2 linked regions of the Sus scrofa genome follow. The protein of the gene in region 1 interacts with the protein of each later gene in a pairwise test. Links are inferred from orthologs where the notes say so. Each region holds a gene or a part of one and is shown on either strand. Other genes may lie near its edges.

Region 1 (4,438 bases):
TTTAAAAATATATTTTCTTGGAGTTCCCATCGTGGCTCAGTGGTAACACACCTGATAGTACCCATGAGGATGCCGGTTCGATCCCTGGCTTGCTCAGCAGGTTAAGGATCCAGCATTGCTGTGAGCTGTGGTGTAGGTCACAGACACGGCTGGGATCCCGCATTTCTATGGCTGTGGTGTAGGCTGGCAGCTACAGCTCCAATTCCACCCCTGGCTTGGGAATTTCCATATGCTGCTGGTGCAGCCCTAAAAAGACACAAATATTTATATTTTTCTTTATAAAAAATGTTTAAAATTGAAGTGTAGTTGCTGTATGATATAAGTTACACTGTAAGATGCACAATTTTTAAAGGTTACACCCCATTTATAGTTATAACATATTGGCTATATTCCCTGTGTTGTATAATATCTCCTTGTAGCTTATTTTATACCTAAGAGTTTGTATCTCTTACTCCTCTATCCCTATGTTGCCCGCCCCCCCCCTTTCCTCTCCCCTCTGCAATAGACCTCAGGGAAAAAAAAAAAAAACTCAACAACAACAAATAAAAAGGTCACATTTTTCTGGACCACCAAACAGGTGGAAAACAGTGGTTCTCAACTAGGGGATTCCTTTACCCCCCACCCCCCACCCCAGAGGTCTGACAATGTCTAGAACCATTTTTGGCTGTCACAAACGGAGAAATGGGGACTTGCTGCTGTGGCGCAGTGGGTTAAGAATCCAACTGCAGGAGTTCCTGTCATAGCTCAGCAGAAACGAGTCTGACTAGCATCCACGAGGACGCAGCTTCAGTCCCTGGCCTCCCTCAGTGGGTTAAGGATCCGGCATTGCCACGAGCTGTGGTGTAGCCCGCTGATGCAGCTCGGATCTGGCATGGCTGTGGCTGTGGTGTAGGCTAGGGGCTACAGCTCCGATGTGACCCTTAGCCTGGGAACCTCCATGTGCTGTGAGTGCAGCCCTTAGACCAAAAAAAAAAAAATTATCCAGCCCCAAATGTGAGTACTGACAAGGCTGCAAAATTCTGACGTAAACAAAGGCAGAGAGAAAGGTCCCCCAAGCCAGTTCGTTCACAGTGGGGGAGGGGTCTTCTCACATGTGCACCATCTAAACTTCTCTGCCCCTCCCCAACATACAAACACCCCCTTATCCCTGTTTCTTATCTTTCAGTCCATACGCCAACTCTGTTCACGCCAACAAACTGCATTTTGCACCTTCTGCTTGGAATCTATGACCCTTTCTTCATCTTCTATCCCAAACTAGAAGCATCTCTACTACAAGTCCTAGTTCCAGTATCACTTGTGACTCCTGAGCAAGAATGAACCCCCAGGTTAAACAGAGAAGCTCTGAAATGGTCAGTTTCCCAGCTTCACTAGAACTGGAAGCCCTTGGACTTGATCTGTTTTATATGAGTTCTGTTCAGACTTTCCCAAAGCCTGGGAATGTTGAAACCCAAGCTAGGACACACGCCTCTGTCCTGAGGTCTGTTAGGAAATCATCTGACTCAGAAGAATAGAAAACGAAAGTAGAAGAACCAGTGAAGGAACCTGTGGGTTGGAGCTCCACCAACCAGGGCTCCAGTCCAAGGTCCCTCCCTCGATCTCTATGGGGTGACCCAGGAGAGCCAAGTTATTCTCTCCAAGCCTCAGCTTCCTTATCTGGAAAATGGGGATATATGACTTAGCTCACAGGGATGCTGTGGGAATGAGCTGGAATAACTAATGTAAGCTGCCTGGCACTCATTTAACAGTGCCAGTGCAATAAATACTGGCTCCTCATTCTTTCCCATTTGGCTGGAAAGACCCTCTGGCCCATTTTGCTGCCAATCTCCAGATTTCAGTCCCTCTGTGCTGAGCCTGCTTTGAATGCCCTATCTGAGATCTTCTCAGAGGCTCAATCACCCACCTCAAGCCTGCCCCCTGCTCTGTACATAGGAGGGGAATTTCCAGGAGACTCAAAGCTTGAGGGGGTATCAGACCCACCTCACCAGAACTGCTCTAACCTTCTCAAACTGTCTCCAATCCCAGCCACAACCTGGGTTTTTCCCACTCATGGGGGAAACTGTCCCCTCTCCATCCTTCCAGAGGTCACTTCAAATGGCATCCCTGGTTGGAATGAAAGCTCAGTGAGGGCAGGATTTTGGTTCATCTCTGCCTCCAAAACAGGAGCCAGCACAGAGGAGGTTCAATAACATTTGCAGAACAAATAAACACACCGTCACCTACCCCAGGACATCGCCCTAGCATCTTTTCTTTCCCAGAACAGTCTGAGAACTTTGCTCCTGCCTCCTATTCAGCATCTCATACTTCTCGGGACTCTAACGTAGGTACCAAATTATAGGGCAGGCCATGGGCTACGCCAGGACAAGAACCTTGTCCTGGTTATCTCTGCTCAAAACGCACCCGCCACCACCTCCAGCTGAGGGCCTGTCTCCAAGAAGAAGCCAACGAAGCCTCCCCGCACCTGAGACGCACGCAATTGTTATCACAAGTTTCTGGGAGAAGAAATGAAACTGAAACCAATGGGGGGGGGGGCTCATTCCCATCCCCAGCACAGCTCAGGGAGCCAGCGACACCCCCGCTCGATATGCCCTCACCCCCCCAAACTCCAGCTCTGGCCCCTCTCGAAGATCCCTCTTCCTCTGGGGTGGGAGCGGAGATGGCAGGGATTCAGCCATCCCTGGTACCCAGACAAACAAACGCGCTCGCACTGCTAAGGGAGGGATGCAGGGAAGAGGGACTAGCAAGGCGAGGGGAGCCTTGAGAAAGGGTCATTCTACACGCGGTTACCTTTGCCACCCGCTTGCTCGCCGTCATCTCGGGACCAGTGTGGGCTCTGTCGGACTCCAGCGAGACTGTGCACCGGCCGGCGGACTCGGCGCTCCCCGCCCCGGGGACCCCACCTCCGGGAGCCCCGCCCACGCTCCTCTCCACCCGCGGGGACTCCGGGCTGGGCGGCCCTGCTTCCCACCGCCTCGGCAGAGCCTAGGAGGCCACGGAGGGGAGGACCCGCCCCGTCCCCGGCGCGGTGGGCTCGGATCCCCGGAACTCTAGCTCTTTTGTCGGCAGACAAGGCGGGCCTGGGAGCGCGCGGCGTTCCGGTTCCCGGCATACCACTGGGGGGCGCCGTGCACCCGGCCGCGAGTGCTCCCGGGCCGGGGTCCGCCCATCCGGGTTCTAATTTCAGCTCCTCCGCCGGAGGCCAAGCCGGGGTCTCCATCAGCTCCGTTAGCCCAGTCGCCGCAGCCGCCCCGAACACACACTCGCCCTAAGAAAATACAGGATGCGTGCTATGCAAACGCAGCTCCGCGACAGGTTGCTCGGGGGCCTCCACCGTCTGACCGCCGCCCTAAGCCTCTCGCGAATTCCAGGAGCCCCCCTGTGCAAACCACTTCCCCAAACCACTCTGGGCCCAATGCTCCATCTCTAAAAATTGGTGGGAGACGGCGTGGACTATAGCCTTTTCAAGGACCCCTCCCCTGGAGGCTTGTGTTCCTTTGTGCTGCCCAGCATTCGGCGGCGGAACTGCAAAGATGTTCCTCCCAAGTGACCGCTTGGTGAAAAGCACCGCAAGGGGGCGCTGTTGGACCCATTCACTTGCTTTAGGGCTTTGGTAGGTTTAATGTTTAAGTGCCTGCTCTGTGGAGGTTTGGGAGACAGTTGGGTAGTGGGGACCCCAAGATGGACTTCAGAGGCTTCCATTATTTTACCATCAGTCCACTACAAATTGCGGGCCTACTGTGTGCCCCAGTACACAACCAAGAGTCTCCACCCCTCTGTGTAAGGGCAGAAACACTTTCCCCTGGAGGAAGCTGAGGCCGCCTAGGAATAGCAGCCCCTGAGCCCTAGCAGCATCTGGAGAAGAATCTCTGGTAATAAGGAGACTCTGGGGAAACTGAACCCATCTTCCCCATCCCTTTCAATCCAGACGAAGGAAATCAGAAAATATTTTGTGCAGGTATTTTGAGTTTTGAGCACAGTTTAGGAAGTTTGTTTTGTTTTTGTTTTTTTGCTTTTTTAGAGCCGCACCCACGGCATATGAGGTCGAAGCTATCAAATGGACTACAGGGCGTGGGGGGTCGTGGGTAGTGGGGGACGTCGCTAGGCCAGGGGGTTCGACCCGCCGCCGTGGAAGGACCGCGGCGGAGCGTGGGGGCAGAGCGGCTCGGATCCGCGTTGCTGGGCTGCGTAGGCGTGGCTACAGCTCCGATTCACCCTAGCCTGGAACTCATATGCCGAAAAAAAAAAAAAAAAAAAAAAAAAAAAAAAAAAAAAAAAAAAAAAAAAAAAAAAACCTACAGTTGCTGGCCTAAGCCACACCCACAGCCACACCAGATCCAAGCCGTGTATGCAACCTGCACCACAGCTCTCGGCAACACCACATCCTTAACCCACTGAGCAAGGCCAGGATCAAACCTGTGTCGTCATGGATACTGGTCAGATT
Region 2 (3,648 bases), on another chromosome or scaffold:
CACTAGCTCCTGGTAAATACGCAATACTGCCTCTGCTCATGCAGTTTACTCTTTACCCAATGCTGATGCACAAATCCGAATTCTACTGCATGAGATCTCATTGCAAAAAGTGAATTCCATGTCCTGCTCTTCAACTTCAGTAATCCTCAGACAAGAATGTCCCTTCTGGCTTTAACCAAATGTGGCTTCTGACTCATTTGTTTCAAAGGTTAGCAAGGGTCTGAGACCGATGTGAGAAAATCTAAGAAAACAGTTTTGAAGCACAGCATTCAGAAACAAAGCAACACCAAAGGAAACCGAAGCTGCCCTGTGATGACAAGGCCATTTCCTCACTTCCCGTCAAGTAACACAAGATGAGGAAGAACCAGCACAAACATCACTTCATGAACCCACCTCCCGTCCACGCAACTGTCACTGCAGTGTCCTGGCCCCACACTCCTAACCAGCTCTACCTTTTTTCTTAAATCCCTATTACCCACTCCTATGTAACTTATCTATTTGTTAGGCTTTTTTATTTATTTCTGATTTTTTGTCTTTTTAGGGCCGTACCTGCGGCATATGGAGATCCCACGCCAGGGGCGAATCAGAGCTGTAGCTGCTGGCCTACACCAGAGCCACTGCAATGTGGGATCCAAGCCATGTCTGCAACCTACACCACAGCTCATAGCAACACCAGATCCTTAACCCACTGAGTGAGACCACAGATCGAAACCACGTCCCCATGGATGCCAGTCAGTTTCGTTTCCGCTGAGCCACAAGGGGAACTCCTATTAGGCTTATGATTTATTATGTAACTCTTTGACAGAACACAAGTTCCTAAAAGCAAGGATCTCTGCTGGGTTTTGTTCTTTAACTGATAAATCCCAGTGCCCAGAACAATTCCCAGGACACAGAGGCTGCTCACTAGGTATCTGCTGAATGAAGGGATAAATGATACTATTCTTTCCATCTCTGGATCCTCCAGTTCAAAACATAAGGATTTTAGTTGCTTTCCTTTTTATCTCAAAATTATTCCAAGCCTTCTCTCTACCCTAATCCTCAATCCAAACAAATTTAAGAAAATTGATATAAACTAGCTTGAAAAAGCGTCGTGTTAAATTAACTTGGAAAAGAGAGATGGGCGTTCCCGTTGCGGACCAGGGGGTTAAAAACTTGACAAGTCTCCACAAGGATCCGGGTTCTATCACTGGCCTTACTCAGTGGGTTAAGGATCTGGCGTTGCCACAAGCTGCAGTGTAGGTCATAGATACAGCTTGGATCTAGTGTTGCTGTGGCTGTGATGTAGGCCTGTAGCTGCAGCTCTGATTCAGCCCCCAGCCTGAGAACGTCCCTACGCCACAGGTGCAGCCATAAAAAGAAAACAAAAAGGGAGAGAGAGGGAGACGGGGTAAAATTTATTTCACCTTAACTTGTTAACGTTTTTTAAAAAGCATGATTAGTAGGATGTCTTTTTTATAAGTGATTCTAGTATTTCCTCAATGATTCCTTTCTTCTTACTCCCCTTGATTTAAGTACCGATCACTGTTCAATTTCCTTCACAAGTCAGAGTATTAAACCCACATTGGTTTGGTAATTATACCTACTATATATTAAGTATTAACAGTGTACCCATGCAAGGCCTACCAAAGCAAAGATAAGTGGTGAATATTACTAATTTAGGCATCAGGCCCTCCCCTCCACCCTGCTGAGAGGCCTCAAACTCTCCCTAGCTGACTCTTAATCCATCCTTAATTTGAAAGTATAGTTCATTCAAATACATACAAGAGAGAGGTAGGTACCATAAACAGAAAAAAGATCATCTATTTCTGGGCCTACGAAGCTACAGGCCCAGAGTAGCTCTATCTTACTGTTTATTCATTTTGAAAAGGAAAAATTTACAAAATCCGTCATTTGAAATTTCCCAATTGGGGAGTTCCCATCGTGGCGCAGTGGTTAACGAATCCGACTAGGAACCATGAGGTTGCGGGTTCGGTCCCTGCCCTTGCTCAGTGGGTTAACGATCTGGCGTTGCCGTGAGCTGTGGTGTAGGTTGCAGACGCAGCTCGGATCCCGCGTTGCTGTGGCTCTGGTGTAGGCCAGTGGCTACAGCTCCGATTCAACCCCTAGCCTGGGAACCTCCATATGCCGCGGGAGCGGCCCAAAGAAATGGCAAAAAGACCAAAAAAAAAAAAAAAAAAAAAGAAATTTCCCAATTGGGGATGCAAACGAAAAGGTGCTGAGGCCATGGCATCAGTGTGCAGTCTCTTGTTTAAAACCTCAGCTCAGGAAAGCACTGTCGCCAGGAAGCCCCCTCCCATCCCCAAAGAGGAGGACCGACCTCTGTGGTCTAGGGATCCCTAATTTCACCAGACTTGTGTATAGTTCTTTCAACGTGTCTGTCTTCCCTACGGGAAGTATCCTTTTCCTCTTCATATTCCCAAGACCAAGCAGAGTGCCTGGCATATCGTAGGAGCTCGAAAAACACCTCAGTGAGTGAACACCTGAACAAGTGTCAATCTGGTCCACACTTCTAGGAGCCCCTTTGAACCCATTAGCCTGTTTGCTATTTTTACTCTTTAACCAGCCAATCTTCAGGAAAACATGTGATCAAGATCATAGGCATTGACACTAAGTGTCCAACTAAACGACACAAGCCCACCCTGGAGTTGTACAGGGTCCTCTTTATTATGAGGAATAAGCAGCATTCAGCATATTCTGAAAAGACAAAAAAATGTAAAAGGAGATACGACCAAGTAAACAGGTGTACACACCATGTGCTTTGTAGGAGATGAGCAAGCATATTAAAGACGATCCAGTAAATTGATACCTGATTTCGCCATCATTCAAACCACCTGATAAACTTCTTACAGATGGCTGTTAACTAAGGCATGTTAAAAAATGTCACTGTTTTGCTCCCTAGCTAGATTCTTAAGAACAGAAAGATACTGCTTATTTAACCAATAATTAAATTTCACACACGCATTACAGTAAAACCCAGTCAATACCAGGTTTACCATTCAAGATAGTATTTGGAATCAGATTCAAAGGTGGAACTGTTTCCCCAGGCAGGATCATATCGCAGCAGACTTGGGCTTCTCAGTAAGCCATAGACATGTAAGCTGTACTTGTACAAGTCTTTCTCTGTATTTTCTCATCATGAAAGAACCAAGGAAAACTTACGGCTGTGCAAAAGATGCAGCGGCATTCCTGGAGTGTGGTCATCTTGTCCAGAGACTGCTCACACAGGCAGAGTTTGCAAGTGACGAGGGGGGTCAGAGCCAGGTCTCCAGGCGTGGGATTTTCAGCGGGATTTTCGGCAGTCATGGTGAGATAGTGGAGGCTACCAACGGAGCTCATCAGCCTATTTTCAGCCTCTTCAGTCTCCTTAATCCCTACAGAAAGGCCCAAAGCAGAAAATATTACATCCATTGATACAGCTCTCGTTCCACCAACACATCTGGGCACCAGCAGAGCAAACTCTCATCCTCAGTGGCCTAAGGGCACAGAAAACGCATTTCTGAGAACCACGGGCTAGAGAGCTTGCCACTTGCACAGTATTTCTGGAGTCCTGAAACGGAAGTGGGCCTCACTGCCTGACTCATATCACATAAACTATGGGAATTAAAAGACCACTATGAACAAATATACTATTTAGGAACTGCATTGCTA

What was found. The genes of interacting proteins can lie anywhere in the genome.
Region 2: the proteins of UBE2L6 (region 1) and RNF144B interact in binary tests that used the Homo sapiens proteins (3 or more experiments, as listed by UniProt). The link is inferred for Sus scrofa from reciprocal best matches to the Homo sapiens genes UBE2L6 and RNF144B.

Annotation. Positions count from the first base shown.
Region 1 is NC_010444.4:13,352,461-13,356,898, reverse strand, and holds the start of UBE2L6 (ubiquitin/ISG15-conjugating enzyme E2 L6), read right to left. Parts: upstream 2,812-4,438; coding exon 2,785-2,811; intron 1-2,784. UniProt on the Homo sapiens protein: Catalyzes the covalent attachment of ubiquitin or ISG15 to other proteins. Functions in the E6/E6-AP-induced ubiquitination of p53/TP53. Promotes ubiquitination and subsequent proteasomal degradation of FLT3.
Region 2 is NC_010449.5:14,052,186-14,055,833, reverse strand, and holds part of RNF144B (E3 ubiquitin-protein ligase RNF144B), read right to left. Parts: intron 3,372-3,648; coding exon 3,160-3,371; intron 1-3,159.